Cricetulus griseus: one gene and its partners. The protein of the gene in region 1 binds, or shares a complex with, the protein of each later gene. Links are inferred from orthologs where the notes say so. Each region holds a gene or a part of one and is shown on either strand. Other genes may lie near its edges.

Evidence for each region.
Region 2: Erc1 (region 1) and Ppfia1 share a complex: the UniProt entries of both Homo sapiens proteins name them as parts of the cortical microtubule stabilization complex. The link is inferred for Cricetulus griseus from reciprocal best matches to the Homo sapiens genes ERC1 and PPFIA1.
Region 3: Erc1 (region 1) and Phldb2 share a complex: the UniProt entries of both Homo sapiens proteins name them as parts of the cortical microtubule stabilization complex. The link is inferred for Cricetulus griseus from reciprocal best matches to the Homo sapiens genes ERC1 and PHLDB2.
Region 4: Erc1 (region 1) and Ppfibp1 share a complex: the UniProt entries of both Homo sapiens proteins name them as parts of the cortical microtubule stabilization complex. The link is inferred for Cricetulus griseus from reciprocal best matches to the Homo sapiens genes ERC1 and PPFIBP1.

The regions. Positions count from the first base shown.
Region 1 is NC_048601.1:25,024,777-25,032,409, forward strand, and holds part of Erc1 (ELKS/Rab6-interacting/CAST family member 1), read left to right. Parts: intron 1-4,426; 5' UTR 4,427-4,583; coding exon 4,584-5,252; intron 5,253-7,633. UniProt on the Homo sapiens protein: Regulatory subunit of the IKK complex. Probably recruits IkappaBalpha/NFKBIA to the complex. May be involved in the organization of the cytomatrix at the nerve terminals active zone (CAZ) which regulates neurotransmitter release.
Region 2 is NC_048596.1:56,799,968-56,808,101, forward strand, and holds the start of Ppfia1 (liprin-alpha-1), read left to right. Parts: upstream 1-3,132; 5' UTR 3,133-3,334; intron 3,335-4,222; exon of another isoform or gene 4,223-4,245; intron 4,246-4,366; coding exon 4,367-4,630; intron 4,631-8,134. UniProt on the Homo sapiens protein: May regulate the disassembly of focal adhesions. May localize receptor-like tyrosine phosphatases type 2A at specific sites on the plasma membrane, possibly regulating their interaction with the extracellular environment and their association with substrates.
Region 3 is NC_048597.1:44,755,940-44,764,260, forward strand, and holds the start of Phldb2 (pleckstrin homology-like domain family B member 2), read left to right. Parts: upstream 1-2,778; 5' UTR 2,779-2,797; exon of another isoform or gene 2,798-2,833; intron 2,834-2,963; exon of another isoform or gene 2,964-3,148; intron 3,149-8,321. UniProt on the Homo sapiens protein: Seems to be involved in the assembly of the postsynaptic apparatus. May play a role in acetyl-choline receptor (AChR) aggregation in the postsynaptic membrane.
Region 4 is NC_048601.1:2,691,298-2,698,930, reverse strand, and holds part of Ppfibp1 (liprin-beta-1), read left to right. Parts: intron 1-159; coding exon 160-189; intron 190-5,172; coding exon 5,173-5,344; intron 5,345-5,809; coding exon 5,810-5,842; intron 5,843-7,633. UniProt on the Homo sapiens protein: May regulate the disassembly of focal adhesions. Did not bind receptor-like tyrosine phosphatases type 2A.

The DNA of each region.
Region 1 (7,633 bases):
TGCTAGCAGCACTGGGTAGGATAGATAAGGTGGGAGGTGAGCAGACACTTGAGTTTTTTATCTCTGATTTGTGAAACACGTGGGTCAAGGCATGATTATGCCTGCATTCATACACACAGGAAGGAGCATACTATGATCCCAGCACTAAGGAGGTGGAGACAGGATGGTCAGGAACTATAAGGCGGATTGGTCTGTATGAGATCTCGTCTCTAGGAAAAAGAAAAAAATCCTCTTGTGTTGTAGAATATTTTTGGTTGTGAGTCTAGCCTTTAATGGCTAAGCCATCTCTCCAGCCCGTGTTGTAGAATATTATTTTAAGATATGTTACATTTGTTTATGCTGTGAAGCATTTGTTTAATGATGCAAAGATTTGTTGGATTCTTTTATGTTGCATTTGTTTAACTCTGTGAAACTGTCATTGCCTGTCTAAAACACCTGATTGGTCTAATAAAGAGCTGCATGGTCAATAGAAAGGCAGGAGAAATGATATGCAGGGTAGGCAGGCAGAGAGAATACAGGGGAGGGGAAATCTGGGAGGAGAGCTGGAAGCCAAAGAAGGAGAGGAGGACTCAGGGGACAGCCACCCAGCAAAACATGGAGTAAGAAGTAAAGAAAGGTATACAGAAATAAGGTTAAAAGCCCAGAGGCAAAAGATAGACAGGATAATTTAAGTTAAGAAAAGCTGGCAAGAATCAAGCCAAGCTAAGGCCAGGCATACAATAAGACTCTGTGTGATTAATGTCCCCAAGCTGACAATTACACATTTTTGTTTCTGTTATCCATTGATGAGTGGCACAAAGTCCAGAGGACCAGCACTTTGGCTGCCATAAATGATAAATTGCCTAATAATAAAGAGCTCATCATAGCCGGTGTTGGTGGTGCACGCCTTTAATCCCAGCACTTAGGAGGCAGAGGCAGGCTGATCTCTGTGAGTTTGAGGCCAACCTGGTCTCCAGAGCGAGTGCCAGGACAGCCTCCAAAGCTACACAGAGAAACCCTGTCTCAAAAAACCAAAAAAAAAAGGCTCATCTTATCAGGTCTGGGCTTGACCATACTCTATGTGTTAGTGTGCTTCGAATTATCAGAGATGAAGACGAACAGCTCTCTCTGAGATGGGAAAATGGCAAGAACATCTCTCATCACCTTTCTATGCAATCAAGTAGCTGGGATGACATGCCCTTATCACACTACACCATGCTCGTGGTTTATTTTATTTAGGGTGAGACTTGGTATAAAATGCAAGATAACTAAAGTTGCAATTTGAATATCTTAGCATTCTAAAAGATCATGGTATAAGTGAGGCCTGGTGTTAAGGGGGGCTTGCCGCCCTTGAGCTGAGTGGCAGATTGTTGATAGAAGTCTGGGGCCCTGATTAATACCACCGTTTACTCCTAAGTATCTGTTTGACAATGTATTTGTCATGGTGAGAATGTTGATAGAACTTACAATTAACTTGATTAACTGATAAGAATTATTAAAACCTGTAATCCACTTGATTTGTAACAGAGTTACTAACCCTTCTGTAAAAGTGAGAAGTGGTAACAATGGCAAATTTGATTGCACCTTTAATTCCATATTTTGCTGCTCCTACCAGAGACCCTCTTTCAAGTTGCTATGCCCTTGTGGCGGTGCTGCCTTAGCCAGTGTACTGTAGTTCCAGTTTCCAGTAGACACTGAAGAGTCAGGCTAAGCTTGCATAATCAAGCACATGGCTTGAACAAACCTAGTTTTACTACGTTACATGCAAAAGATGGAGCAAAGATGTATTCTTTAATGTTTAAGTTTCTTTTCTCTTTTTTAAAGCCTACTGTTCACAGAAATACTAGCAATCTGTGGTGATATTTTATGATCTAATAAAGCTTGCCTGAAGATCAGAATGCAAAGCTAGTCACAGCCATAGAGGCCAGACAGTGGTGGCACACACCTTTAATCCTAGCAGCCACACTAGTTAGCCATAGAAGCTAGGCAGTGATGGTGCATGCCTTTAATCCCAGCACTAGAGAGGTATATAAGATAGGAGCACAGGGTCTCAGAGTGTATTCAGTCTGCAGTCTCAGTGAGTCTGTGCAGCAGTGTAGTCAGGGGCAGTCGGAGGAGCAGTGTGTTTGGAGAAGAAATCAGAGGACAGGATCGCCCCTTTGGTCTGATCACTGGTAGAGATGAGAACTCTCTAGTGGCTGGCGATTTGCTTCTCTGATCTTCAGCTTTAATCCCAATGTCCGTCTCTGGGTTTTTATTATTCACGCTACAGCAATCAGAGTTCAGACCTCTGTCATTGGTCATTGATTACTATGAAAATTATTAGTGCTGAATGGTCCTTATTTAATGTTTTAGTTTATAGCGGGACTTTTTTTTTTTTTTTAAAAACATGAAAATACTACATGCTCTTTCTTATTTTGTTAGACAAGGTCCTGTCTTGTACCCTATACTGGCCTTGAATTTGCAGTTCTCCTGCCTCAGCCTCCCAGATGCTTTTTTATTTTGTGTGTAGCCATTAGCGATAACTTGGGGTCATTTCTCTCTTTCCACCATATCCCTTGGATTGAACTCAAATTGTTGGGCTTGGTGGAAATTACCTTCACTTGATGAAGTGTCTTCACTGGCCCGGGTATTTTTTATACTTTTGATATTGATACACAGCGTCTTCTTCAGAGTTCATACTTGAGAACTACACAATCAAATTACAAAAGTTTCAGAAGGGACTAGCAAAATGGCTTAGCAGAGTGCTTGCTATGCAAATGTGAGGACCAGTGTTTGAATTCTCAGCATCCAGGAGTTGCCTACCTGCCTGTAATCCCAGAACTCTGAAGACAGAGGCAGACAATCCCTGGAATAGACTGCTTAGCTAGACTAGCCAAATCTGTGAGCTCTGGGTTTAAGTGAGAGATCCTTATGTATGTAAGCAAGAGAGTAATTGAAGAAGATAACTTACATCAACCTATGGCTCTACAAGCACAGGAATTTGAGGGGGCCATTCTCATTCAAGCCACCACATGTGGCAAGCACCTTTACACATGAAGCGGTCTTATGGCTTTTTGTTTTTTTGAGACTGGTTTCAGTATGTGGCCTTGGCTGCTGTTTTGGTGTTTGGCTTATAAACCACATGGACTTCAAATGTGTGGTGATTCTACTGCCTCTGCCTGCTCTGCTCCACCATGCCTGTCTAGTTGGGCTATTCTTGTACTTTCAGTCCTCCATCTGAATTTTAGAGTCAGCCACCCCCGAGATTGTGCTAACGAGCTGGGGGAAGGACTAGTCCTTCACAGCATTTGTCTTCTCGTCTGGGAGCATGGATAACCTTTTTATTTATTTACTTATTCTTGAGGTATTATTTCATGTCTTCCAGTAGAGTTTTAAATGCTTGAAGATTTTTCTTATGTTTAAAGTACTTTTATAGCTTTGTTGCTGTTAATAAGACTGTTTTTTGAGTCAGGGTCTCATATATGTGAGTTTGGCTTCAAACTCAACTTTGTAGTGAGGATGACCTTGACTCTGCTCTTTCTTCCTCTTGTGCTGAAATTACTGGCATGTGTATGCTACAACATCCGTTTTATGTAGTGCTGGGGCTCAAGCCCAGAGCTTTGTTCATGCTGGGCAAATCTTGTTTCCAATGGAGCTATATCCCCAGCCCGAGTTTCTTATTTTTAAATTAAAAGTTCATTTTCTTCTCCCAGCTCCCCCTCCTTCTGTGTGTGTGTGTGTGTGTGTGTGTGTGTGTGTGTGTGTTATACATGTTTGAGTGTTTGCTGTGGTCACTCTTAGGTGTTGGTCCTGGCTTTTACCTTGTTTGAAACAAGGTCTCCTGTTCTTTAGCTTGTCCCTGAACTTTGGGAAATTTTCCCTTCTCTGTCTTCTATCTTATCATAGGAATACTGGCATGTCAGATACATGCTATTGCATACAGCTCTACCTGGGTTTGGGGATCTGACCTCAGGTCAGGGTCTCATCCTTGCATGGCTGCACTTTACTCACTGGTCCATCTTCCTAACCATAAAAGCTAGTTTCTAATTGTTATTCCCAGTGTACATGAAAGTGTTGGTATTTAAATACCAATCTTGTATCATACTAGTATGTTTAGCTGTTATGACTTTTGATAATATGTGGTGTTAATATTTATATATTGATTTTATGTCTGACTAATGCATTGAGTTCTTTTATTAGTTCTGATATTGTAACCAAGTATTGATATTTATACTTTGATTTTATATAATAGTCTGAGTTCTGTTATTCAGATGTGTCACTTTGTAATTATCAGTTGATACTCTCCCATTTTCAGATAGAAAACATCACATTATGGGTTGTCTGATTTTAAAGCCATGAGAATACTTAATGAAAGTAGATTCTTTCCCAAATAAAGGTAATAGAACATTTCTGAGATGGGAAATATTTATTATTGGGGGTTTAATGTGTGATCTTTTCATTACAGATATGGCATAAGGTATTTCTTCAAGATTGGACAGCTGGTGTGACCTGCTATTTCTGGTAGCCTTAAGCTGACTTTATAGCCATAGAGAAACCTCACAGAATTGCATTGTTATTTTCTGCTTTACAACATCTTTGGCGCCTAAGTTCACCCTGCAACCATGTATGGAAGTGCTCGATCAGTAGGGAAAGTGGAACCAAGCAGCCAGAGTCCTGGGCGATCACCGAGGCTTCCTCGATCTCCTCGATTAGGTCATCGGCGAACAAATAGTACAGGAGGGAGTTCTGGAAACAGTGTTGGAGGTGGCAGTGGGAAAACCCTTTCAATGGAGAATATACAGTCCTTAAATGCTGCCTATGCTACATCTGGCCCTATGTATCTAAGTGACCATGAAAACATGGGTTCAGAAACACCTAAAAGCACCATGACACTTGGCCGTTCTGGGGGACGCCTGCCTTATGGTGTTAGGATGACTGCGATGGGCAGTAGCCCCAATATAGCAAGCAGCGGGGTTGCTAGCGATACCATAGCATTTGGAGAACATCACCTCCCTCCTGTTAGTATGGCATCCACTGTACCTCACTCTCTTCGTCAGGCAAGAGATAACACCATCATGGATCTGCAGACACAGCTAAAGGAAGTATTAAGAGAAAATGATCTCTTGAGGAAGGATGTGGAAGTAAAGGAAAGCAAATTAAGTTCTTCGATGAATAGCATCAAGACCTTTTGGAGTCCAGAGCTGAAGAAAGAGCGAGCCTTGAGAAAAGATGAAGCTTCCAAAATCACCATTTGGAAGGAGCAGTACCGAGTTGTGCAGGAAGAAAACCAGGTTAGTTTCATTTGTACATTTATCTTTATGGGCTGAATCCACGTATATAAATAAAACAAGGAATTCTCTTCCCTTCCTGTCTTAGATTTCCCCCATCTTTGTTCCTTTATTTTTTATTTCTCCTTTTTACTTCAGAATTCTATTCCTACTTTCTTAGTCTTTTTTAGATTTGGTCCTGTACATGTTCCACAGGTATGTTCAAGCAAAACTCACATACACCTAAATTAAAACAAACAGAATCTTACACCAAACATTGGTGGCGCACGCCTTTAATCCCAACATTTGGGAGGCAGAGGCAGTCGAATCTCTGTGAGTTCTAGAGCAGCCTGGTCTACAAGAGCTAGTTCCAGGACAGCCTCCAAAGCCACAGAGAAACCCTGTCTTGAAAAACCAAATAAAATTTTTTTTTTTTTTTTTTGAGTACTGCCTTGGCTACATAGTGAATTCAGGGCTATCTTGGGGCTGTATTGTGAGACATTATCTCAAAATTAAAACCAACCCAACACAGGACAGCTATATGTTCAGTGGAAGAGCAGTTTCCTAGCATGTAGAAGAGATTCTTGGACCTGTCTTGCTGCCTTCAGATTGTTCAGAGTGCTTCAAGGTTGCAATTTCATGAGTCATCAACTATATTGGAGTGGACTTTTTGATGACACTTGAGTTACATTTGAGTCATCTCTGCCCCTGTAAGGAACCCCTCACACATATATTTGTAAGTAACCTTAACACAAAAAGATTCACTGGTTCACTAAAATAAATGAATAAAAGGTTCAATATGTTTTTAAATAATTAAAGACAATTCAGCATTCCTCCCCCACTTCCGTATGTAGCTTAGGCTGGCTTGGAGCTCTTCTGCCTCCACCCCCTAAATGCTAGATTTATGTTAGCTTGCCTGACCACCAGCCTTTTCAAGAGTAGATTCGTTGTCTCTCAGTCTGTCTCTCTCTTAGTATATAAATTTAAAGCAGATTTGGTGTTAACCAAAGATACTGTTATTGAATTGCCTACTCATCAATGTACCTTTCTGAAAATGTAATGGCCAGTAAGGTAGTTTTATTGTCAAATGACTTGGAAATGTCTAATTTATTGAGGAAAAAAGTTATTAGGCATGTTTTTTCTTATGTCTGTGCTTTAGGGTATGGGACTTGGTAGAGAAATCCAGTGCAGTACCCTTTCTCCAATTATTACACTACATTCAAAGGCAAAATATTGAATCTTTTGAGAAGACAATTATGGGTACTTACAATTTTTCTGGAAAAGAAACAGTCCACAGGTTTTTCATGCCAAGAAAACCATTATGTGCTGAAGAGGGTGAGCACCGCCTTATCTGGTCCACCCCGTGCCCTAATTAAATACCAGTGCACACCAGTGCTGGCAGAGACATTCTTCCCGAACCACTGTAATTACCACAGAGTTCTAAAATTGTGTAACATCGGTCCAAAAAACAAAGGGTGCAATTTTAAAGACAGTACAGTGAGATACAGAGACTGAGAATGCTAATTAATAGATTATAGTCAGCTAGCAGTGGGCCCCTAATTAAATAGTGCATTCATTATCTTCTTCGTAGCTCCCAGAGGTCAGACATCTTTCATTTGTGAAGAAGACTGGTTTATTAGACTTTATAGCAATTAAATACATTTCTGTATTTCAGTTTGAGGCTGGGGATTTTGGTCCATTTTAAATGTTTGATCTGATTGCGCTGGGTCCAGAATCTTAACAGTATAAAAACATATTTGCTTAGGAGTGCCTGCTGTGCCTAGTTGATTATTAATGGCATTTTCACAGAATCTTATTTCTGAAATAAAAATTATCAGATATTTTTATATCTTAGACTCCTTTTGTTGCTTTACTTTCAGATAGCTTGTGATTGGAGAGTTAGGAATGAGAGAGAGTGTGTGAGTGTGTGTCATGTGTGTTTTGATAGAGAAGTTCTTCTAAAAAATGATGACTAAGGAAGACTGTAGTGTAAACTTGATGGATAAGAATGAAATCTTCCTGTGAGCTTTATGCAATCACAGAACTAGTGAGAAGCTTTTGGATAAGTTACATTTTAGATGTTATTTTAGTTAGCTATTGCACTTCTTTTTTTTAAATAAAAGGTTGTTTATTTATGTATATGAGACTTTGTCTGTATGTAAGCCTGCACACCAGAAGAGGGTATTAGATCCCATTAGACATGGTTGTAAGCCACTGTGTTGCTGCTGGAATGGAACTAAGGACCTCTTGAAGAGTAGAACAGCCAGTGTTCTTAGCCACCAAGCTATCTCTGCAGCCCTTTGTACTACTTTCTTGATTATGCCTTGTAAGAGTTCGGTGTGTTGAATTTAGTTGGATGCTTATTTTAAAAACAGTTGCCGGGCGTTGGTGGTGCACGCCTTTAA
Region 2 (8,134 bases), on another chromosome or scaffold:
TATTTAATGTGTAGGGGTGTTTCGCCTGCATGTATGTCTGTGTACCACATGTGTGCATGGTATTCTTGGATGTCAGAAGAGGGCATCAAATCCCCTGGGTTTGGAGTTACACATGGTTGTGAGCTTGTATGTGGGTGATAGGAATTCAACTCAGGTCCTCTAGAAGAGCAGCTGGTGCTCTTAACCTCTGAGCTGTCTCTCCAGTCATGATGGTTTGCTTTTCTAACATAAAGACACATGTTGGTGCAGGCTGAAACCCTCCAAACAGGTTCTTCCCTACAACTGGCCCTATACTGGGATCTGAGGATTATGTCAACTCATGAAGCCTTGAGGGGCAGTGAGGGTCCTATTAATGACCCATGCTGTGAGGACTAGAGAACTCTCACTATGTAGTACCAAGAATATAGGTCACAGCTGGGTGTGATGTCACACACCTTAATCCCAGCACTTGGGATGCAGAGCCAAGCAGCTCTCTGGGAGTTTGAGGCCAGCCTGGACTACATAGTGAGTTCCAGGTTAGCCAGGGCTACATAGTGAGACTATGTCTCAAGAAAAAAAAACACTAATAAAGGAAGGAAGGAAGGAAGGAAGGAAGGAAGGAAGGAAGGAAGTGGCCATGGTCCTAGAGAGCTGAGGCTCAAGTCTTGGATTCTACACTTTATTATCTACTGGGGGCAATGCATTTGATTTCTGATCTCTCTGAGTGTCATATGTCTAGAAGAGCATAGGAGAACTTGTGGGTGCAGGATTCTTTGGATGTTGTTCTGCAAATGTGACTTCTGTATGTGTATGTACATGTGTCGTCCTCAGGAATGCCTTCCACCTTGTTCTCCAGCTGAACTTGGGACTTGTCTATTTTAGACTGGCTGGCCAGTGAGCCCCAGGGATCCTATGTCTCCACTTCCTCAGGCTGGGATTACAAGGATGCACTGCCACATCCTTTTTTTGTTTGTTTGTTTGTTTTGTTTTGTTTTGTTTGTTTGTTTGTTTGTTTGTTTTGTGGGAGTCCTGAGGATGGAACTCATGTCCTCACCCTTGTTCAGCAAGTCCTTTACTGACTGAGTTTCCTTTTCAGCCCCAAATTTGGTTCCATTATCACTCCATCCAGAGGTATCTGTGTTCTCAGATCAACCCAAACAGACCAAATTCCCAACAAGGAAAAGCAGGCTTACTCTTGAGCACGGTTTCAATAAATTGTCCAATCCAGGCAGAAGGAACTGCATCAGGACTTAAGACTCTCAGGCTATGGACCTTTTTGTTTCAGCAGCTCATTGGACCTGACTCCTCAGCTGTGGAATAAGAAGCCACATGTTGTGGTGACTGGTTATCCTCAAACACTTGTGAGATTTATCAGGAGTTCAAGGCTAGCCTCCGCTGCATAGTGAATTTGCAGCCAGCCTGGGCTACATGAAACCATTTCTCAAAAACGGAGTGCTAGAAGGGTGGGGCTGGAGAGATGGTTCAGTGGTTAAGGGCATTACTGGCGCCTGCATGGCAGCTTGCAACTATATGTAACTCCAGTTCCATGGGCTCCAACAAACACTTATGGTCTCTGCATGCATCAAACATGCACACAGTACACATATATGCATTCAGGCAAACATCACCCAAACACATGACATAAAGATCAATAAAAAGAGGGACCTGAGGTGATGGTATGTGTGATAGCATATACCTGTCATCCCAGCGCTTGTGAGGCTGAGACGGAAGCATGGAGAGCTGTACACTAGCCTGTCTCAGAGAGCCCTTGCCTCTAAAATAAAATGCAGGCCAGTGAGATGGTTCAGCAGGCAAGGGCACTTGCTACCAAGCCTTATGACCTAAATTTGATCCTTGGGACTCACGTGGTTGAAAGAGGGAAATGGCTACTGCATGTTGTCCTCTGGCCTCTATTCAAGTTGAGTCATGTACTTATGCAGACGTACTCTTAGACACATAGATACACACAACATAAACAAATAAATGGGATAAAAATCCAAACAAACAAACAAAACACCTTGAATGTCAGCCATGTCTCTGTGATTCAGAGGGGGCAATGGTCCTGTAGTCTCTGTTCCTCACAGCCATCTCTGCAGATATATGGTCTATAGTGAATGGGTGCAAAGCATCAGGAGCCGAGATTTCCACAGCCAGAAAGCTTGGGAAAACTCTTGAGCATTAGCAAGCAGTGGGATGGGATCTTCTCCGTGCAGCTCTATGAAGACCCCCCCCCCTCTCTCTCCAAGCGATCTCACTATCCCTGGCTGCCTGGCTGGTTTGGAACTCAGTATGTAGACCAGGTGGGCCTGGAACTCACAGAGATCACCTTGCCTCTGCTTCCTGAATGCTGGGAATAAAGGCTTGCAGCATCAAGACTGGCTGGCTTTTTATTTTATGTGGGTTCGGGCAGTGGAATGGAGGTTCTCATACTTGCAAGGGTGGCTGAGCCCTTAAATTTTGTGTTTTGTTTTTACATTTGCTTACTCATTTGTGTGTGTGTGTGTGTGTGTGTGTGTGTGTGTGTGTGTGTGTGTGTGTGCATGTGTGTGCATGCATGAGAGTCACAAGGCGTGTACAGGTCAGAGGATAACATTCAGGACCACGTGGGTTCCTAGAACTGCATCTATTTAATGCAGTTCTTCTGGGTCTCAGAGATCGAACTCAGTCGTCAGGGTTGACGGCAGTCGCCTTTGTATTTTTAGAGACAGGGACTCCAACTCGAAGCAATCCTCCTGCCTCAGACTTCTGAAGGCTAGGCCATAAGCTCCAGGCAGGCACCTTGCCCGGTCTCTGTCATCATTTTTCGGTCCTGCAGATGGCCCGGCGCGACTCGGAGACTCAGCAGAACTCTTGGGTCTGAGAGTGGGCGTTCGGGTGACGTCAGCGCACGCGCTGGAGTGACAGCACGGAAAACAGCAGGACTGAAAACTGCGCGCACTTGCCATAGTTCTTTACCTGTGAATCCACCGGTGGGCGGGGCTTGGCCTGGCTCGGGGGCGGAGTGGAGGGTGCGGCTAAAGAGAGAAATAGCCAATTGACGTTCGGGAAAGGCCGCCCTCCCACTACCGCGGAGCTGGCGCATGCGCATAGCTCCGTGGCCGTCTCTCCCTCAGGGGGCGGTGCTGACGCTCGCGCCGACGCGCCGGACGTCAGGCACGTTGACGCCGGCGACGCGCCGGGCCCGGTCCTCTGCGCTCGCCAGTGTCCCGCGGCGGCGGGCCGGCCTTCGTGACGAGCGGGGCGGCGGACCCGGGGGCCGGGCGAGGACGCAGCTGCGGGGCTGCGTGGGTCGGCCCGCAGCCGGCCGCCGCCCGAAGGCTGCCGCGTAGCCCCGGAGCCGCGCCCGCCGGCCAAGGTAAGGGCGGGCGGAGCGGGCCGCGCAGGGTGGCGGGCCGGGGTCGGCGGGGCCGAGTCGGCGGGGTCAGCGGGAGGTGGTCAGCGGGAGGGGGGTCAGCAAGATTGGGATTAGCCTGGCCGAGCCGGGGTCAGCCAAGGCGGGTTGATATCAGTTAGGTCTGAGTCAGCTTAAATTGGCCAGGGTCAGCGAGGTTGGGGGCAGTGAGACTGGGGTCAATTGAGCCAGGCAGGACCAGCGGAGTCCTCGATGGCAGGATCATCCCGGCATGATCAGGTGCACCTGCAGGACATCCCCTTCATCCCCCGCCCTGTGCCCTGGCAATCTCTAGTGCCATCTCACCTTTCTCTTCTCCTTCTTTATTATCTAGTCTTGCTGTCCCGACTTCCTAGATTCTCAGTGTGGAAACTCTCTCTTTTCTTTTGCCCCCTCTTTGACTGTAAACTTATGTAAGTTAGCTTGGCTGACCAACCGTTGCACAGCAGCAGGCCTTTGCAAAAACACCTCTGTCCAGGCCTTAAAGAGCCAATCCAGTTGCTTTTTCCGCTGCTCACCAAATATCCAGCCCCACAAGTCAGGGAGCCCGGCAGTCCTTCCCAGGAGCTGACTGCACACATTCCTGGAAGATGCCTTGGTCCATAGCGCTGGTGCTTGTCAGTTCTCAGCCGTCTTCTGGTGTTGAGGGAATATGTTTTGAATGTCTCTTCCTGGAGAAGAACAAAATAAGTTAACAGAAGCCCACTGTCTTCAGCTGCTGAGAGTGCGGATTTTCAACAGACTCCGCTGATTTGCCCTGGGTGGGAGAGGTGAGCATTCCAGCTCCCCTTGCTCCTGGGACTGTGGCATCCATCTCCCAGTCTGCTCTTCCTGTTGGTCCGTGCATGCTACTTGCCATAGTGTGTGCATCCAAGGTGAGCAGCTCTGACAGTGTGGGACTTGTCAGCATTTGCTCATCAGCCACAGGTGGTGCTCGGAAAGCTGCAGGCTTGTTCTGCACCTACTGACTATTGTCTGCATCTTTCCTGTTTCAAGATGATGTGCGAGGTGATGCCGACCATTAGTGAAGCGGAAGGCCCCCCAGGAGGAGGTGGAAGCCGTGGGTCAGGCTCCCCTTCACAGCCAGATGCTGATTCACATTTTGAGCAGCTCATGGTCTCCATGCTGGAAGAACGAGACCGCCTTCTGGACACTCTGAGAGAGACACAAGAAACACTGGCGTTAACCCAGGGGAAATTGCATGAGGTTGGTCATGAAAGAGATTCCTTGCAGAGGCAGCTCAACACTGCGCTTCCACAGGTATGCCAACCAAACTGAAACCAAGGTGTCTGCCACTAAATGTCTGTGGGATGATCTTGTTAATGTGTTAGCTTGCTGACTGTTTTGTGTAACCACTAGGAAAGTGATGTTTCTGGTGGGTTTTTGTTTTGTTTTGTTTTGTTTTTGTTTTTCGAGACAGAGTTTCTCTGTGTAGCTTTGGAGCCTATCCTGGCACTCGCTCTGGAGACCAGGCTGGCCTTGAACTCACAGAGATCCACCTGCCTTTGGCTCCCAAGTGCTGGAATTAAAGGCATGCGCCACCAACGCCCGGTTTCTGGTGTTTTCTAAGCACAGGTAAAATTCCCATGGAATTCAGTTTGGGAATAAATGGGTATTCTCCAAAGCCATGTGACCACACTGCTGCACTGTTGTGCCTTTTTGGGTAACTGCCTAGATTTGGGAATGTGTTTCAGAGTTGGGTTTTTGTTGTTGCTGTTTTGTTTGGTTTGGTTTCTCTGTGTAGCCTAGGCTTACCTAGAACTCACACTGTAGACCAGGATGGCCTTGAACTCAGAGATCAGCCTGTCTCTGCCTCCTCAGTGCTGGGATTAAAGGTATGCACCACCAGAGTACCTGGCTATGCTTTGACTGGGGCTGTGAAGCAATGAGCTATGTAGTGTCTCCCATTCTGTGTCTTAGACTTGTCCATGCCTGCTGTGGACCTGTGAGGAGTGGATCTCTGGGATTTTATGTCTTAATCCTGGTTTGTGTCTTGTGGATTTCCAATTTCCTGAGGAAATCTTGTGGATAACTAGGACTGATTCCATTGGTAAAGTCTTCAGAGGCTTTCTTGAACATTACAAGAGCTGTAATGAAACTTTGTTTCAGGGGAGAAATGATTGAACATTGAATCCCAAGGCTCCTCCTCTTCCTGGGTAGATGAGACTTTCAGAGCTTGAAACACCTTGTGTATCTTTAGTATTACATCTGAATTGGTGTGCTAGAGCCTTCTCTTCCAGAGTCAGTGGTAGGGGAAGGAGAAAGTGGGATAGCCTGCAAAACCCAAGGTGAAAGGCACATGGAACAGGGGTTGCTTAGCTTTGTGCTGACGAGCCCACTTTGTTCATTCGTGATCGGTATCTTCATGGTGCTCAAGGAAGCTGCACTTATGCTCTCACGGTGGGGTTGCAGAGATCAGTTCGCAAGTGAATAATCACTGCCTTGATGCATCTCTTGGCTGTAGTCATTTCTGTAAGATTGGACTAAACGTTTGAATGTCCTTTTTAGAAACAATTTGGTATTAGTGTTGTGTGCTGGGAGTTTTTGTTTGGGGGCTAGAGAATCATTTCTTCCTGGAGTCTTAGGAATTAGCAGGTTAATTAGGTCAGATTTTGTTGTCACGTGTTGAAGAGGTTTTTAAGATGCTGTGAGTTCCAATTGCTCTGCTTTGCAATTGTGTTTGTTGCAGCAGTGTTTGGCCAACGCTTAGGTTTTTGGAAAGAACAGGCACTGGGGTCACAGAACTGACCGTGTTGTGGGCAGTGTGGGTTTCAGGCAGCAAGCATGGAACTTGCTAGGGAGCCTGTTGCCAGGTGAAGCTGGCTGCTGCTCTGCAGTGCCTCATTGAATTAGGACATGCTGGTATCCACAGTTATGTCAGAGCTGACCTGAGTCTAGTGTTATAGAGTAAACTTATTTCAGACCATTCCCTTCCTGGAATCAGGGTCCTCTGATGGCTAAAAATGTGACCAGACGGGCCTATGTGTCCAGTCAGTGTCCTTACAATGGAGAATGCATGAGGATCCACAGGTCACAAGTATGTGCCTTTGCTAGCTGTTCAGTTATGCTCATGGAGCTCTGCTTGGATCAAGAGATGGACAGGACCATACCTCCTATGAAAACCCCCTCCTACTGCCTGCAATCAGTGACTGTTCCCTATTCTTAGGTGGCCCAGTTCTTCACTATTGGTTCCTTTGCATATGCTTGACTTTCTTTAGGAATTGTGTATGTTTTGTTTTGACTCTTCCCTGGACTCTGTGAGACCCACCTTTGCTTTCACCGAAGTGTGCTGTGTAGATGGGCCCTACTTGTTCTTGATGCAGTTAGGACCCCTGAGGCTGCCACTGTCTTAAACTTCCCAGGCTGCCTTTGCATTTGGGGAGGTGCAGAACTAGATGTGTGTGTTTCTGCTGGAGTATTCTAAAGAGTGGAATTGTAGTGACAGCAGCCTCAGGAATTACTGCCAAAAGTGGCTGTGGTGACAGTTGGTACAACCACACGGCCACCAGCAGTATGAGAGGCCATTGTTATGTACTCCAAAGTTCGAAGTGGAGAGGTGGACTGCAGCCACCTGCAGTGCAGGGACCCTTTTTTTGTTTGTTAATTGGATTGTCTGTTTCTAATTTGAAGTTCTTTATACATTCTGAGTGCATAACTGTATAGAAGAGTTTTTGTTTTTGTTTGTTTGTTTGTTTTGGGACAGGGGCTTTCTACATAGCCGTGGCTGTCTTGGAATTCACTATGTAAGTCAGGCTGGCCCCAAACTCATAGAAATTGGCCTGCTTCTGCCTCCTAAGTACTAGGATTAAGGACATGCACAACCATGCCTGGCTAGATTTTTTTTAATTAATTTTTTTGTGTATGAGTACAGGTTGGTGTGTATTCTTGTATGTACATATGTTTTTATGCAGGTGCTCATACACTTATGCACAGATGTGCTGAAGCCATGTTGGGTGTCTTCCTTGACTGCTCTCAACCTTACTAGTTTTTTAGTATTTATTTTATCTTGTGTGTATGTGTATGTGTGCCTGAGTGTTTGTATGTGTACCATACATAGAGATAAGAATTGGATTCTCTGGAGCTGGAGTTCCAGACAGTTGTGAACTACCATGTGGGTGTTGGAAACTGAAACTGGTCCTCTACAAGAGCAACATGTACTCTTACCCATATGTTTAATCATCTTTCCAGCCCTTCTCTACCTTACAGACATGGCTGCCACACCTGGCTTTTATGTGGGTACTTGTGTACTTTAACCACCGAGCCATCTTCCCAGCTTGGAAGGTTGTTTTTATACTCTTGTGTTTGTCTCTTCACTCCAGTAGTATTGCATCTATATGTAGATACAAATGTTCACATACATCCATATATACAGGTCTTGCCATGTAGCCCAGGCTAGCCTATACCTTTGATAATCCTGCCTTAGCCTCTCAAGTGCTGGAATTTCAGGTGCCTACCATATCCAGCTCAGTTGTATCTTTTTATGAGGAAAAGTTTTAAATTTTAATGTAGTTCAATTGATTGACTCCCCTCCCCCCAAGAATATTTTTGGTTGTGAGTCTATCCTTTAATAGGTGAGCCATCTCTCCAGCCCAAGAATATTTAATTTAGGGGCTAGAGAGATGGTTCAGTGGTTAAGAGCACTAGCTGCTATTCCAGAGGACCTGGGTTCTATTCCCAGAACCCACATAGATACTCATAGTTTTCTGTAACTCCAGTTTCGGGAGATCTGATGCCCTCCTCTGATCTCCACGGACACCAGACACA
Region 3 (8,321 bases), on another chromosome or scaffold:
TGAGATCTGAGATGGACAGTGAGGCAGAAAGTAGTTGAGTTCTGTTTTTGGTTTAGAAAAAGCAGAAAAGACTTCCTGATGGGTTGGAGAAAAATTAAGTTCAAGGCTGACATAAGGTTTTAGACCCCACATGGGGTGACTTCAGTTGGAAAAGAGTAGTTAGAAACAGGAAAACATTTCAAGGAATCAGTGTTGACAATGGTAACTATGAGGTCAGTAGGCATCCATCTGGGCAGCTGCCAGGGGCCTGAGATTCCAGGGAGTGGGTTGGTCTGGAGGTAAAATTTTCAAATAGTCAATACAGGCTGGGATTTAGTTCTATGGAGCAGAAAGACAGCACTACTGGAAGCAATAGATTGAAAATAGATCCCAAATTTAAACTCTGAGTACTCTTGGCTAGGCCAAAGGAAACAAGAATACAAAAAGGAACTACTGATCAACTGGTCATTGCTTCTAAGGAGTGAGATGAGCTTCTCCCAACTCCTTGGGGAAGAAATCAGAGCTTGAATTTGCTTATGCTGAATTACATGGCCAGCCATTGGTGGTACCCCCCACTCACACACACAACTGATCCCTCCCTTCCCATCTACACCCGCCTCCAGTACACCTGCAAAATCTATTCTATTGCCCCTTCCCAGGGAGATCCATGCATCTCCCATAGAGTCGTCCTCTTTGCCTAACCTCTCTGGAGCTGTGGGCTATAGTTTGATTATCATTTTTAACAGCTAATATTCACTTATGAGTGAGTACATACTATGTTTGTCTTTCTGGGTCTGGGTTACCTCACTCAGGGTGATTTTTGTTTTCTGGTTCCATCCATTTGCCTGCAAATGTTTTTGTTTTGTTTTGTTTTAGCATCTGAGTAATACTGCATTGTATAAATGTACCACATTTTCTTTATTCATTCATTGGTTGAGGACATCTAGGTTGTTTCCAGTTTCTGGCTATTATGAATAATGCTGCAATGAACATAGCTGAGCAAGTATCTCTGTGGTAGGATGGAGTGTCCTTTAGTTATGTGCCCAAGAGTGGCATCGCTGGATTTTATGGTAAATGGATTCACAGTTTTCTGAGGAACTGCCATTTTGGTTTCAATAGTCAGCCTTTGGTGTTTTGAGTCAGGTCTTCACTATGTATCTCAGGCTGGTCCCAACTTGTTATGAGGCCCAAGCTTGCCTGGAATTCTTGATCCTCTTGCATCAGCTTCTCAAGCGCTGGGATTATTGTCATGTTCCACCATACCTGTGAAGGAGCAATCTTTCATTTGAGTGGTTCAAGCTCAAGGGGACACAATAAAGGCAACTTCTGACTGGAGTGTGATAAGGCAGAAAGTGGAGACAGCGTTTCTCATTTCTTGAAGGTGTTTTGTTATACTTAAGCAGTAATATAATTGGAAGGTAAGCAGAATCAAGAATGTCTTTATTTTTATTGAGATTTGGTAAGGGATTTGAAGTTGATGGAGATGAGGGGAAGGACAGTGTGTAACTCGTGAATTTATTATTGTGGTGCAAATCCTACCGGGGTAGTGGGCGGAGAACACTCAAAAATGCAAACCATTTTTTATAGGAATGGCTACAGCAGAAATTACAAGTCAAACTTTAGGGGCTGGCAAGGTTGTTAATCTGCTAAGAGCTGTACCACTCTTGTAGAGGATCAAGTTTGGCTGTGAAAACCCACGTTGTTTCTGCCCCGCCCCCCTCCATTCACGTGCACATACAGGCACAAAAACACACATACATATACATAGTAAAATATATTTAATTTTAAAAGTCAGACTTTTACTTACACAAATGCAACATTTTAAATAAGCATTTTGTTACATGAGTTTACTCACAGCTCCAGGCATTTTGCATAGATGAAGCAGAGGCTGCCTTGCTGTGCACCAGCACCACCGGTACCTCTGTTGTACCAACCTTAGAGACATCCTTGCTGGTAGCAACTGTCCCAGGCTACGTTGCTATTAATTAAAGAGCTTGCTGGTCCTTGCGCTTTCCTTATGCTGTGCGTTCCTCCAGGGTTGTTGTCTTTCATCACTGTAACCCCACTGGGCCAGAACTTTGCAGGCAATCCCATCTGGGCGTGTCAAGATGGACTGTGGGTCGTCCTCCCCAGTCCATTTCCTAGCCTCCCAAGGAAGCAATAGTGAAAAAAGTCCACATTAGTATAGTTTTCACTGGTTATGTTAAATTTATGGAAAACATCGAACCGTTTATGAGACACCATTCCAAGGAAATCGGTGTCACAGAGTTTTAAAGTCTTCTCATTCCTGCCCTTACCCCAGGCGTCGCCCTGCTGTTTGGCACAACTGCTTTCCTGACGCATCAGGTAAACCTGCCCCGGGGAGAACAGTGTGTGGCAGAGGTGCGGTCCCCTGGAGTTTCCCAGAGCAGAAACTTCATCATGGGGAAGAAACCTCCACCCGAGGACGTGTGTTCTCCTGTCCCATTTCCACCTTCTTTTAAAAAAAGAAAAGAAAAGAAAAATCCAGTCACAAAGGTTTCTACTACATTGCTGCGAACACAGCTTTGAGAAGGTGGGGCAGGGTGATGAGTAGCCAGGCACTTCAGCAGCACTAAAAGCAGGAGCAACTTAGCTGCCTAGGAGCCGGAAGGCGCCCTGACTTCACAGCTGGAACTCCAAGGACCCGCTGCTGTGATTCGGGAGGGGGTCGGGACCAGGGACCGAGCTTGGTGGAGTCCACCATCGTGGTCCGAGGGGCGCCGCTGAGTGTGGCACGGAGCAAAGCGGTGTGTCTGCCTTAGGTGGCCACGGGCACCCAGCCGCCTCGTCACCCTAGGTGAGTAGAGGGCTACCGTGGTCCTGGAGGAGCGGACTGAGCTGCTTTTGCGAACCCTGGCGGCTGCCTGGGGACACAGCGTCCCCCGCACTCGAGTTGGTAGCCGCCGGTCGCGCTGGGGAGGTCGGGGGCGGAGAGGAGGCGGTGGCCGCCCCCACCGGGAGGGGCGCCCAGAGTGCGCGGTGCGCGGCCTCAGGGACTGGCTGGCTGCAAGGCTGTGGCGGCTGCGGCGGCTGCGGTGGCTGCGGGAACCCGGACTAGGACCGCAGGGAAGGAGGGCGGGAGCGAGGGCCAGGCCCAAGGGCAGCGGGACCTGTGAAGAAAGCTGCGACTACAGAGAAAGATGAGCTGGTGAGTGGGCGCCTTGGGCGCAGGTTTTCTTTGCGTCCCTTGCAGGCTGTAGGGACAAAAGCCTGGGCAGGGGTCTGGAGAGCCCGAACCGTACCACCCTAGGATACTCTGCCCTCCTTATGCATGACGATGTCGGGTAGAGGGCTCGTGGGGAAGGGGTGCTCAGTACGGTGACGCCTCTAGAGTGGTTGAGGCGAAAAGGCAGGATTTAATTAAGGGTCTCTAAGGCAACTTTCGCGGAAACTTGCTTAAGCAGAGATCTAGACCCCAGGAAAAGAGAAGGTCCACAGCTGGATCCTGAGGAATATGGGGTTCCGAGAGGATCTTTTTGAATTAGGCTTCTAGATGTACTTTGTTTCCAGAGTGAGGCTGCAGGGTGAGCCTCCGGACCCAGATTCTCACCAGGAGTCCTTGATTGCGATTCAGCTATAGTTTCCCTAAACGTAGATGGTATAGTGTTCCCTTCGCCCTTAGTGATGGCAGCTCCAAATCATGGGATCCTTTCGACCCTGTTTCACAAGCTCCCTACACTGCGAGGAGCAGTTGAACTGTTCTTGGTGCGCTCAGTAACTTTGCCCCAGCTATCAGCACTTGAAGCCCCAAGGACCTGGCTAACTCCCGCCACCACCAGGAAATTAAAAGGCTGACGGGCTGTCCCTTCCCGGATTGGGATTTCCTGTTTGGAAAAGCTTTACAATTCCAACCTCCTTCCAGCGGTTCCTCTTTTACCTTTCTCACTTAAAAGAGGGAAGACTCCTGCAGCCTTTTATGTGGACCGGCTAGGGCTGGAAATCCTTTAGCTCGGCCCAGCCCTCTTCCCTGGAAGTCTTCCTTTTGTGGTTCTGAAATAACTCGAGCTTTGGGATGCACAACTAGTCACAGCCCGGCGCAGCTGTGAGGGGTCTAGAAGAGACATAAAATGTGGAGTCCGTTAGTATAAATATCTGCCAGCCGCATTTCCTTCCAGAATATGAATGTGTAAGTTACAGATGTAAATTTTCAACTATGATGCTTGTAACTAGGCTCCCAACGTGGGCTTAATTTGGACGTTTGAGATTTTTTTCTTTGGGCTTCAAACGTTTGAATTTAGCTGGGAGCCTCCAAATATGGTTCACAGTTCCACAGGGTTAAACTTTTGCCCTTGGATCACTTGAATTCTTTGTTCCTGGTAGGATAGCAACAGAGTAGTTGGATTTGGGATAAATAAACCTTGAGAGTAGCCCACTATTTTAACAGAATATGCCTGGTGCCGTTGGCTTCAATTGTGTAAATATTTATTTGAATAAAGAGCTAAGATTCTCTGAAAAGTAGCAGTTGTATCTTTCGAGGTTCCCTTTTCCTATCTCGGACTTAGTTGTTTAAAAGGTTTTTATTTATTTATTTTTCCTGATAAATTCATTGTGTAACTTAAACATAACGCATAATTAAGAAACTCGGTACAGGGTCTCCAAACTTTGACAAAGGGAGGAGAGTTGAGTTTTTGCTTTCAGTTAATGTAGCTTTTACTCCTGAGGCAGGGAAGTTTGCAAATCCTAGCTCTCTCACAAACGGCAAAATGAGATGTTTGGTTAAGAGCCGTCATCATTGTCAATTTTCAGGCTGGTTCTCTGCAGCTGGCAGCTGCTGTTCTTTTGGGGTGAGAATGACTGCAGAGATGTCTGCTTGATCCTTTTGGGGCAAGCAAGAAATGCTAGATAAGAAGATAGGGAAAGGTTTAACAAATGTCTTCAACAACTCTGGCCAAAGTTAACTACTTTTGCAAGCATTCTCAGGAGACAGAAGAAAAAGCCAAAGTTGATTTGATCAGACTCTGGTTTTCACTCCTTTCATCAGTGTTGAAGACTCTAAGCATGATGGGTTGTGGAGTACAATGAAGAAATCAAGTCTGGGGTCTTGATTAGTTTTTGCATAATTTTTAAAAGCAGCTGGGGTTGTGGTTATGACAATTGACCCTACAGGATGCTAGATTGCAGACATTGGGAAAGAGGTAGTGCCACAGGTGACAGGGAAAGACAGGAGCTTAACACATTCCCCAAGAATACCTGTGCTTTATAATGTGTCGCTAAATCTCTCTGTGCTTACTTATTAGATGCAGGAATGCCATCCATTTGAAAAACAAACACCTTCTGAGTGATGCCTTAGAGCCCTGCAATGTATTTTAGCAGTAGTTCTCAGGAATAGGAGGTGGCATACAGTCTGAAGGGAATGCTGCACAGTGTATTTTGATTATCATAGCTGAGGATAGGAATATGCAACCAGAGTCCTTTGAATAGAGATCTGTTAAATACCCTGCAATGTCTAGAACACAAACAACTGTCTGGCCCAATCCCTGTTCTAGAGCATTTCCCCAGGTCAGCCAGATGTTAGCAAATTAGGAATCTTAATTTAATTTGGATCCTCACAAAATTTACTTAACTCTTGTTGCTCAACACAGACCATGTCCCAGAAGCCTTTTTACCTGCAGTGGATCCTCCTGTTCTCGGCATTAAGAGTCTTAATATACTGTTGGAATGGAAGAACTTGTTGGGTTTCCTTGATGCTTTTGAATTGGCTTAAAGTTGAGTTTAAACACAAGTGAGCCTGGGTGATCACTAAGCTCAGTTCTCACTTTATAGGTGATATGCCTATAAAAGACTAGTAAGACCTTGATCGAGTTAGTGAAAGACACCGCTCTAGTTAGAACCTGAGATTAGAGAATTTTATTGATGTTTAGGCAAGCCAGATTTAAAAACAAAATAACAAAAAAAAAAAAACCAAAAAAACAAAAAAAACAACTGGACTGGATCCTTTGTGAGAGTTTAGTAATACCATTCTTCATAAGAAAATACACTCCTGAATGAGGGCAATGATGTAAGCCTGGTTGACTATGGAACATATGTCTGGGTGTGTGTGACCTGTGACACCACTTCTGAGGCCTGCACTATCTTTTCCATGTCAAAGTAAGCAACAGATGGTCCTACAGACACAGCAGATGCTGCCTTTGAATGCAGGTACAAAACAGAGCATCTCAGCTTCTCCTCCTTTGCTCTCTGCTCTGTGTATCAGGATCAGAGCACATGAATGAATAGGGTTATCTTAGACAGAAGGGAAAAGGAGAAGCTCCTGAGTGTGTTGTGTGTGGGGGAAGATGCCTGGCATCTATGCAAATGAGCTTGCTTAGGAGCAATTGGTGGGTGGGTGGGTAGGTGGGAGAGATCTATAAACTGATGGATGGGTATATACAGCACATTCAATTGTATCAAGCTTAGATTAGAAATCTGAAGACAATTCAAGCTTGATTGTTTGGGGCAAGCTGGGCAAATTAATTCTGGGAGTAAAAGGAACCTTAGAAAATTTCCCAGGCTGGGATGTAACATGCTTGCCTGGCATGAATGAAGCCCTAGGTTTGGTTCCCAGAATCACAAAAGAAGCAGGGGCAGTGGTATATAATTACTGGAAGATTGGGAGTTCAAGGTCATACCAGACTACATGACAAGCTTAAAGCTAGCCTGGACCAAATCAGACCCTATCTCACACAAACAAACAAAATACTTGAGGTCTTATTTGCAGCTTGGTAGATTCCCATCTGTAACCTCATGATTGAAGAGGCAGAGGTAGGAGGATTGCTATGAGTTCAAGGCCAGCCTATTGTCTTAGTTACTGTTCCATTGCTGTGAAGAGACACCAGGACCACAGCTACTCTGATAAAAGAAAGCATTTAATTAGGGGGTTAGTTCATATCGTGGTGGGAAGGTGATAGGTAAGACACTTGGAGGAGTAGCTTCTCATCCTGATCTACAGGGAGAAGGCAGACAGAGAGAGAGAGAGAGAGAGAGAGAGAGAGAGAGAGAGAGAGAGAGAGAGACATACTGAACTTGGGATGTTCTTTTGAGACCTCAAAGCCCACCCCCAGCCGTACACCTCTTTCACCAAGGCTACATCTCCTAATCACTCCCAAGTTCATTTATATAGTGGGGATGGTTTCATTCACACCAGTGAGTACTATATCAGAGTGAGGCAACTTCTCAAAAAAAAAAAAAAATCACTTGTCTCAAACCATAGTTCCAAGCCTTACTCAGGACTTGGTAGTGACAGAACCAAACAAATTTTCTGACTTCTGCTTCACGATACAGCTTGCCCTGCATAGTTTCTACCATCCCATCTGCTTTCTTAATGTTAAAGATTTGGTAGCAATATAAAGTTATTATTAATTTCTTCCTAGAGTTTGATAGGTATGACATTACTGAATGGCTCCATTTCTAGAAAAGAATTACCTCAATGAGTTTTTTTTCATCTGTTGTCTATCTTTTGTTGCTTTGCTTCAGGGAAAGGGCTCATTCTGTAGCCCAGGTTGGCCTGGAACCTACTTTGTTCTCCAGGCTTACCTCAAACTCTCCACGATACTGAAATCACAGGCGTGAACCACCCTGCCTATCATCTGTGAGCTTTTGGGTATCAGTTGTGCCTGTATGGCTGTGTCAGTCACAAATGACAACATCCACTAACTGGTTTATGTCACTGGAGTTAGACACTGGGCCTGTGGTTATGGATTCAAGTCAGGGTGATATGTCTTCTTTCTGATCCTCATGCCTGGGAGGTTTGCTTGATACAGGAAAGGTCTTGGGGTGCCTTTCCTGGGGAGGTCAGACCTCCAAATGCTGTTAAAGGATGGTCTTATGTTGGCAACTAGCCAAGAGGTTCATCTCAAAGGGAAGCATATGGAAACATTTAGGAATAACTCTGAAAGGACTGACTCCTAGAAGATCAGCCCCCTGCAGGCTCTTCGCTAGAGGGAGGTAGCAACCCTTTCATTTTCGTCTTCCATCTTGCCATTCTTGTTACCCCTTCTCCTGCCATGATGCCCTGCCAGGATAGGAGACTTTAGTAATTCAAATAAGAAACTTAGTATCTGGAAATATTTCCTAGGATTTGAAGAATGTGTCTCTTGTCTTTTGAAAATAAATATAGCCCAAAAAGGATAGTTCATGTTTTCAAATCCCTTCAGCATAAATTTTAGTAAGCAAGAATTTGTGTTTGTCTCACACAGGGAATTACTCTTCTAGGGCTTCATTTGCAAAATAGATATGTCTGTGATGTTTAGGGATCCTTCTTACACTTCGCTGATAAAACAGCTTTGTGTTGTATCTTCTTTAAAGGCAAGTGTTTTGAAGCATTCTGGCAATCAGCAGCCAGG
Region 4 (7,633 bases), about 22 Mb from region 1:
AGGTTGGGACAAATAAAACATTGTAGGAAATAAATACAACTAAGATTTTGTGGTTTAAAAATGATGTAAATGGCTTCCTATTTATAGAAGTGTATATGACAACTGAATGTCTAAAAGATTTTATAGTAGCCTTCCTTAAATGTCATTGTTTTTGAACAGGAAAAGGAGTCTATCCAGAAGCCTGCAGAGGTAATTTTTATATCTGAGTTGATGTATAAAAATCTTTTAAATTTTGTGACTTGTATATTGAGTAAATGGCCCCACTCCAGGAGACCAAGGCTGTCAGTCTCCAAAGCATTGTTTGAGGTACAGAAAGACACCTGGGAAGGTCATGTGTGTGTGCCTGTACTTGAGTGAAGTGTGCAGCATGAATATGTCCTCAGAGAAGGCTGCAGAGTGGTGGCTATAGCTGGGGAAAGAGGGTAGAAAAGGAGAAGCTGAGGGGCTTTGGCTTTGGGATGGTGGCGGTGTTTGGGGAGTAGATGGGGTAGTAATGATTCAGAGAAGTGCTAAATGCCATTGAGTTATTTACTTTAAAATGTTAATTTTTAGCCAGGTGGTGGTAGTGTGTGCCTTTAATCCCTTTAGGAATTTGAGGCCAGTCTGGTCTACAGAGTTAGTTCCAGTGTAGACAAAGAAACTATGTCTCCAAAAACAACAACAGCAACAAAAAAGTCAGTGGAGAGATGGCTCAGTGGTTAAGAGCAGTGGCTGCTTCTCAGAGGTCCTGAGTTCAATTCGTAGAGACCACAGAGTGGTTTGCAGCCCTCTGTAACTACAGGCCCATGGGATTCAGTGCTCTCTTGTGGTGTGCAGGTGTCCATACAGATAAAAGAGCCATATACTAAAATGCATGCATACATAAAATATAATGATAAATTTTTCGGCCAAGTCGCCTGAGCCCTGCCGCCACGTGGGCACCCCAAATAACACACAGTCTTACATTAATTACAGTGCTGCTGGCCAATGACTAGGATTTCTTATCTGCTATCTCTGTCTTAAGTATCAACCATAATTATTAATCTATATATTTTATAAAGCCTTATCTGATCGAGGACGCCAGTGGCATGCATCCTCTCTTGTCGGGCTCACATGGTGGCTCCCAGAGAAGAGAGGAGGAGGAAGATTGTGATTTCTTGCTTGTCCCTGCTTATAATCTGAGTCTTTCTGCTATGTCACTTCCTGCCTGGATCACAAGAATTCCCTTTACTGCATTTCCCAGACTCATCCTCGACTCCTAGTCCTGCCTAACTTGCTTCCCTATTGGTCAACAGTGCTTTATTTATCAACCAGTAAGACAAACATATACACAGAAGGACTTCCCTCATCATAAATATTTTTACGTTAATTTTTTCTAAGCAGAAGCAGGTGGATCTCTGTGAGTCTATAGAGTGAGACCCTGTCTGAAAAAAAAAGTTAATTATGAATTCTGAACCCATCACCCAGCTCGCAAACTCCAATGGTCCCAACACCCTTTTCTGATCTATACGCACGCAGGCACGCACGCACGCACGCAGGCACGCACGCACGCACGCATGGGCTTCCAACTTGGTGGTTGAAAGAGTCCACTTCCAGCGTTAGGAGGGTGGGACAATCATGTAAAATACAGAAAACTTTTCCAGAAGGTTCCATCTATTTAACAGAATTTTAGCTGCCCACTAGAGAGCTCTGCTGTTCACTTCACAACTGCTGCTCAGAGCCTGGACACACTAGGACAGCAGAGCAGAGTGTACCAGGCTTTCTTTTTGGGGCCACCAACCAGCTCAAGTCACAATACCGAGACTTATTATTAGCTTTGAATGCTCAGTCTTAGCTCAGATCCTTTCTGGATAGCTCTTTTAACTTAAACTAACCCGTTTCTCTTTATCTACCTTTTACCTTGGGCTGTTCACCTTTCGTACTTCTGGGTACCTATGTTCACTGCTTCTCCATGTCTGTCTGTCTTCTGCCCTGGACATCTCCCTCGTTCTATTCTTCTTCTTCTCTCATTCTTTTTTTTTTTTTTTTTTTTTTCTGAGCCTAGCTTTCTCTTCCCATTTATTCTCTTTGTCAGCCAGCCCAGCCTATACTTTCTCGTGCCTGGTTTTGGCCTTTCAGCTTTTTATTAGGCCAATCAGGTGCCTTAGGCGGGCAAAGTGAAACAAATGCAACACATCTTTTCATAATTAAACAAATGCAGCAGAAAAAATGCAACGCATCTTTGCTCAGTTAAAATAATATTTCACAGCAGCAGAAGCCTGTGAGGATCTTTGTGGAAGCTGGAAACTATGGGAAGGACCATCCTGAGGGCTCAGCTGAGGGCTACACTTGAAACTATAGACCAGTCTCAGCATGGTGGTTAGTTTGTCTCATCCAGTGCTGACTCAGTTGTAACATGCAAAGATTGAGATCCATAAGCAGCTGAGTTACATAAAAATTAGTTAGCTCCTGGTTTGTTTCCTTTTTCAAATATTTTTCATTTATATGCTTTTATATGTAATATATGTATATATTGTATATATATTTGGTTCTCTGGATTTTCCAAATGCCCTTTGTTTCCCAAACCATTGCTGAAGTAATCAGGGAACTGGAAATGATACAGATTATTACTTCAAAAGACTCCTCACGGCACTCAGAGCCCAGAGGCTGGCAGACCATGGTCTCAAGACCAGCTGCAAGTTTACCCAAGTTATATTGCAACTCATTATGCCTATTTATTTACATACTGCCTAAAGTGATTTCACACAACAGTGAAATTTTCACACAACGGTGGCTGTGTGGAGTAACTGTGATGGAGACTGTATGATTCACAAGTCAGAAATACACATTTCCTAGATGGATTTCAAAAACAATTCAGAGAACAGAAACGTGTCCATGAAATATCAGCATGTATCAAGCTATAAATGTGTCATTTAGTGGCATCCAGAGGTGGTAAAACTGTAAAGAAAATAGATGGAATAAGAACCACAGACTTCGACAGAATTTCTAAAAGATAGGGGCTGGGAGTATTGCTTGAAAATGGGATAATGAAGGAGCTTCAAGTGATACGTAAGACTTAAATTATTCTTGGGGGCTGGAGAGATGGCTCAGTGGTAAATTGTGCACTCTGTAAGCCTGAGGACCTGAGTTTAGATCCCCAGCAACTACATAAAAACTGGGCATGGAAACACATGCCTGTCATCCCAGTGCTGAGAGACTGTGGGGACAGGAGTTTCCCTGGGAGTTGTCACCTTGTCTCATCAGTCACTGAGCTCCAGGTTCAGTGAGACTCCATCTCAAAAAATGCAGTGAAGAGAAATAAAAGACACCCAACCTTCAGCCTCCATATACACATGTGAACTCATGTACCTGACATACATACACTGGGACATACAGAGCTTATGTGTAGAACAAGTGCAGACTGCTATTCTGTGGTCTCAGACTTTGACCAGGGCATAAGTATTGGGTAGACATAAAATGAATGTTTTGGGGGGAAAAAGAAGAATGAGGAGGTTAATTTTGGGCAGTTGAGATGGCTCCAGGAGTGAAGGCATTTTGCCATCAAGCCCCATGGCCTAGGTTAAATCCCCAGGGTATTCATGCAGGAAGGCAAGAACAATTCCCACAAGTTGTTGCTGACCTCCACACATGCATGTTGTAGCACATGCACTCCCACACATGTACATAGGCACACATACACATAAGAAATAAATATTTTTTTAGAAGGTCACTGTTGCAGGATCCTGACGGGCATCCCGTGACATTGGAGGAAAGTAGGTGTGGCACCAATACAGGCATTGGGAACAACAAGCTCAGTTTATCCCAGGGAGGGGAGAGTTTTATATACCCCTCAACCTGCCCCAGGGGAGGAGCTGGCATCTGCTGATGTGACTTGGTCACTGTCCAAAGTCCACGTCATCTCTCATCAGACTCGGCTGCTGTTGTCAAGGCCAACTGGCAGACCCAGGCTGGGGGTCAGGAAATACCAACTGCGAATGCTCTAGGCCAGCTGTCAGGCCCATTGAGGCTTAGTTTTCCCACAGTTCACCTCTATATGTTATTAGAAAACTGACCTGTGGATGTTAGTTGGGTGCTTTGATCATCTGTGTGACCAGTTGTTTGTCTCACACACAGCCCTTGTCCATAGGAGCAAGCATGGCATTCTAAGCAGGTCGTCAGCCTGTGTCCCAGGTCTTCCCCTGGGTTCCGATCATCAACCACATTAAGGCCTGCAGTAGGGTGCAAGGCCAGTTCCACCTGACTGTCAGCTCTGAGCGCCTGAGTCCTTCAGATACGGAACCAGCAGTCAGTGGAGACAGCTGTCACTCAGGTCCTTTTCAACCCTTGGTTCAATAAATGATCAAAGGACTTATCAGTGTTGACGTAGCTAATGACTGTGTTGTGCATATAGACTTTCGGTTAATGCAGTCGGTCATCTCTTTGACCCTCTCACCAACTGTGCAAAGAAAAGCAGAGAACAGGAGGTGTTAGAAAAGAAAGGCAAGCAGAAGTGTCTCTCGGTGATACTAGAGCAGGGAGACACCCTTTATGAGCTCAGTGACTGACTCAGAGTCCGAAAAAAAAAAAAAAAAAAAACACCAGTGCCTGAATGTACCTTCCTCTTCTCATTCTTTGAGTGTAAAATGACTGAGTAGGCTCTCCTCGTTGTGTGTTAAGGCACTGCCTGCTTCGTAGACTTGCCTCAGGCTTCTGTCGCTGTGTGGTGATTTAAGGATGCAAACTCATTTATAGCTGTGCACCATAATTGCTAGAAAAGTAAGAATTTGCCAGACGGATTTGGTGCACACCTTTAATCCCAGCACTCGGGAGGCAGAAGCAGGCGGATCTCTGTGAGTTCAAGACTAACCTGGTCTACAAGAGCTAGTTCCAGGATAGGCTCCAAAGCTACACAGAGAAAGTCCTGGGTATGGAATATCTTCACTCCATGTCTTGAAGGAATGAGACAGATAGAACTTAATTGTTTTTAAAGCTGGCTTAAATACTTAAAGTAGCAAATGTCTTGATTGTGGCTGGAGTTAGAGGTGTTCATTGTGTTGCTGTTTATTGCCCAGGCTTCTTTAATATGTCACTTGGCGTTGGGCTCAGTGTGTTACTTCAGTTGTCTGTCCAGTGATGTGGCATTGATTTGAGTCCAACCTCCTGTCCTAGGGATAATGCACCCTAACACCCCATTACCTCTTCATCACCCCTCAGGATAAAGCTCCAACCGACAGCTGCACATTTGGGACCCTGCCTCCCAAGGTTCCAGGACATGATGTCTCCATGGATGACAACCCCTTTGGCACTCGAAAAGCCAGGTCCTCCTTTGGCCGAGGCTTTTTTAAAATCAAAAGTAACAAGAGGACAGCAAGTGCACCAAACCTTGGTAGGTATGGCAAGGGTACCTAGGTCCTGACCTTTCAGACAGAGGGAAAGGCTTGGTTCCACCCATCCTTTGTTCATCTGTGGATACATCTCTCTTTCTCAGACATGAAGGTGATTGCCTTCAGGGGGGATGTTAGCAAAAATGCTTCAGTGGATTTGATTTCCAAGTGTGATGATAAGTCAACTCTTACCCACTCTCTGTGCAGTGAGATAGACGGCAAAATGAGATCGTCCTGACCCTGTGGTGGTCTGTGACTTTGTTAGACAGTCTCCCTCTGTGGTGGTGGGATGAATGAGTCCCCACGGACGACCCTGTGCAGTCTGTGTAGTCTTGGTGCGTGCATGCGTGCGTCCCTCCTATGGGCATTTGCCTTGGAGGGAGGAGTCTGATCTGTTTTCATTTTGTCATCCCTGTGTTCTCTCCATTGGGCTGCATGTGTTGTGTGCGTTGTTGGGATTCCTGAAGATCGTAAACGAAGTGCCAGTGCACCTACCTTAGGTATTGTACCCCTGCATGCCAGCCTTCACCAGTGCTGCACTCTGAGTCCTCTTATCCCCACCCTTGACCTCTGTGATCTCTATCAAGCAAGCTGGCTGCAATCAGAAAACGTAGTCTGTTCCAAAGTATTCCTCCATCTTTGGTGAAAACAGACTCCACAAAGCCTTTGCTTCTGAGTCTACACGCTGTTTTAACCAGTGCTGTCGACACATTGTAAGCAGCCCGGAGAGGCCCTAGAAATGCCCAGCAGTCTGCGTGGTGCAGGGCTGGATTGAGCTGGCATCATACACCCAGCTCTACTCACACATGACTGAACCACCACCCACCAACCCTCTTTCCTCCTCCATGTGCTCATTTTCCCAACCCCTGCCCCTCCCCCCAGAATGTCCGTTGCCAGGCAGGAGCTGACTTACTGCTCTTGGAGGGACATTCTGGACATTATATTACTTGGGCGTTAGGAATATTTAGTGATGACAGCGGTGACTTCACATGGTGTCTGGGGAGTCGACATCAGAGTGCTTTTAAGAGAAGTCCATTCTGTCTCCCTGTGGGGAATAGTATGAAGAAAGCCTTCAAATAAAATAAAATAAAGAAGTACGTTGTGTTCTGAATGAGCTGGGCTAGGAACATTTTCAGGGTACCCATACCCCGTGGCTGTGGTATGAGAGTGCATAGATCCCCCTGGGTTTCCCCAAGGCTGTCACCTTGTATAGATACCAGATTGTTGACACACAAAGGGGCATCATTGTCTTTGGAGCCCGAAGTGTTTACAATGAGCGCTGGCTGCACAGACTAAACTCTTCTTCCAGTTGGACAACTACTCTCAGCTACTCCCATGTCCTTCTAGGGCAGTAGTCAATGCTTGTAGGCCAGTGCTGCTTATTGTAACCTGTCATCACAGCTCTGCTTCATAGAAAACTCAACTTCTGCAATTCCTGAGACTCCTTTCCTGATCTTTTTTTTTTTTTGAACAAGTGTTATTTTCCTTTATAAAATGTAAAATTTCGCCCTTTGGAAAACCACAGCCCCATCTTTGCCTGTGGCTGTTCTTCCAGGAATGGACAGTTGAAGGACCATGCATTGTGTATGTACAGAGGCCTGCAGTGGCCACTGTGGATGCTATTCTTTCAAAGCCAGATTAAGAAAGACCGATTTTATATCTAAAGAAAAACTCACACATACCTACCTAGTCATTGCTCTCTCCCATCCCATATATAATAATAGGCTAGGATTTTCCCCCTCTTGAGGCAGGGTCCCAACTATAGTCTGGTCTGAACTTGAGCTTGACATTTTCTTGCCTTGGCCTCCTGAGTGCTGGGATTCAATGGGAGTGCACCACCATACTGGTGATTCATTTCCTGAGAAAGAATCACAAGTCCTGTGTAACTGATGAGATCTAAATGGCAAAGGAGAAGGGTGTTAAGAAGAAAATGACATAAACAGAAGACTTGCAGGGAAACTGATGGGTTTGATAAGTCCCATGTGTCCGTGGCACTTTAAGCTGGGACTCTGCATAGTCTTCAGGTGTGGTGCTGGATGAGGTTAGGCTCAGAGGTTTTGGTACCTCCTCCTATGAAAATAAAGCCATCCTTCAGCACTGAGCTTAGAACAGGTGAATTTGCCGAGAGCCTGAAGAGGGAGCTAAGCAGAGTCTTGGTGTAAAGTGTAGCAAGTATAGAAGTGGGGGCTACATCAAAGGAGAAACACCCAGGCCACACATCCAAGAGAGAGAGTCATTACCAGAGAGGGAGTGGTGACGTTAGAGGATACAGGAGGCTCGCTGTCCCAAGT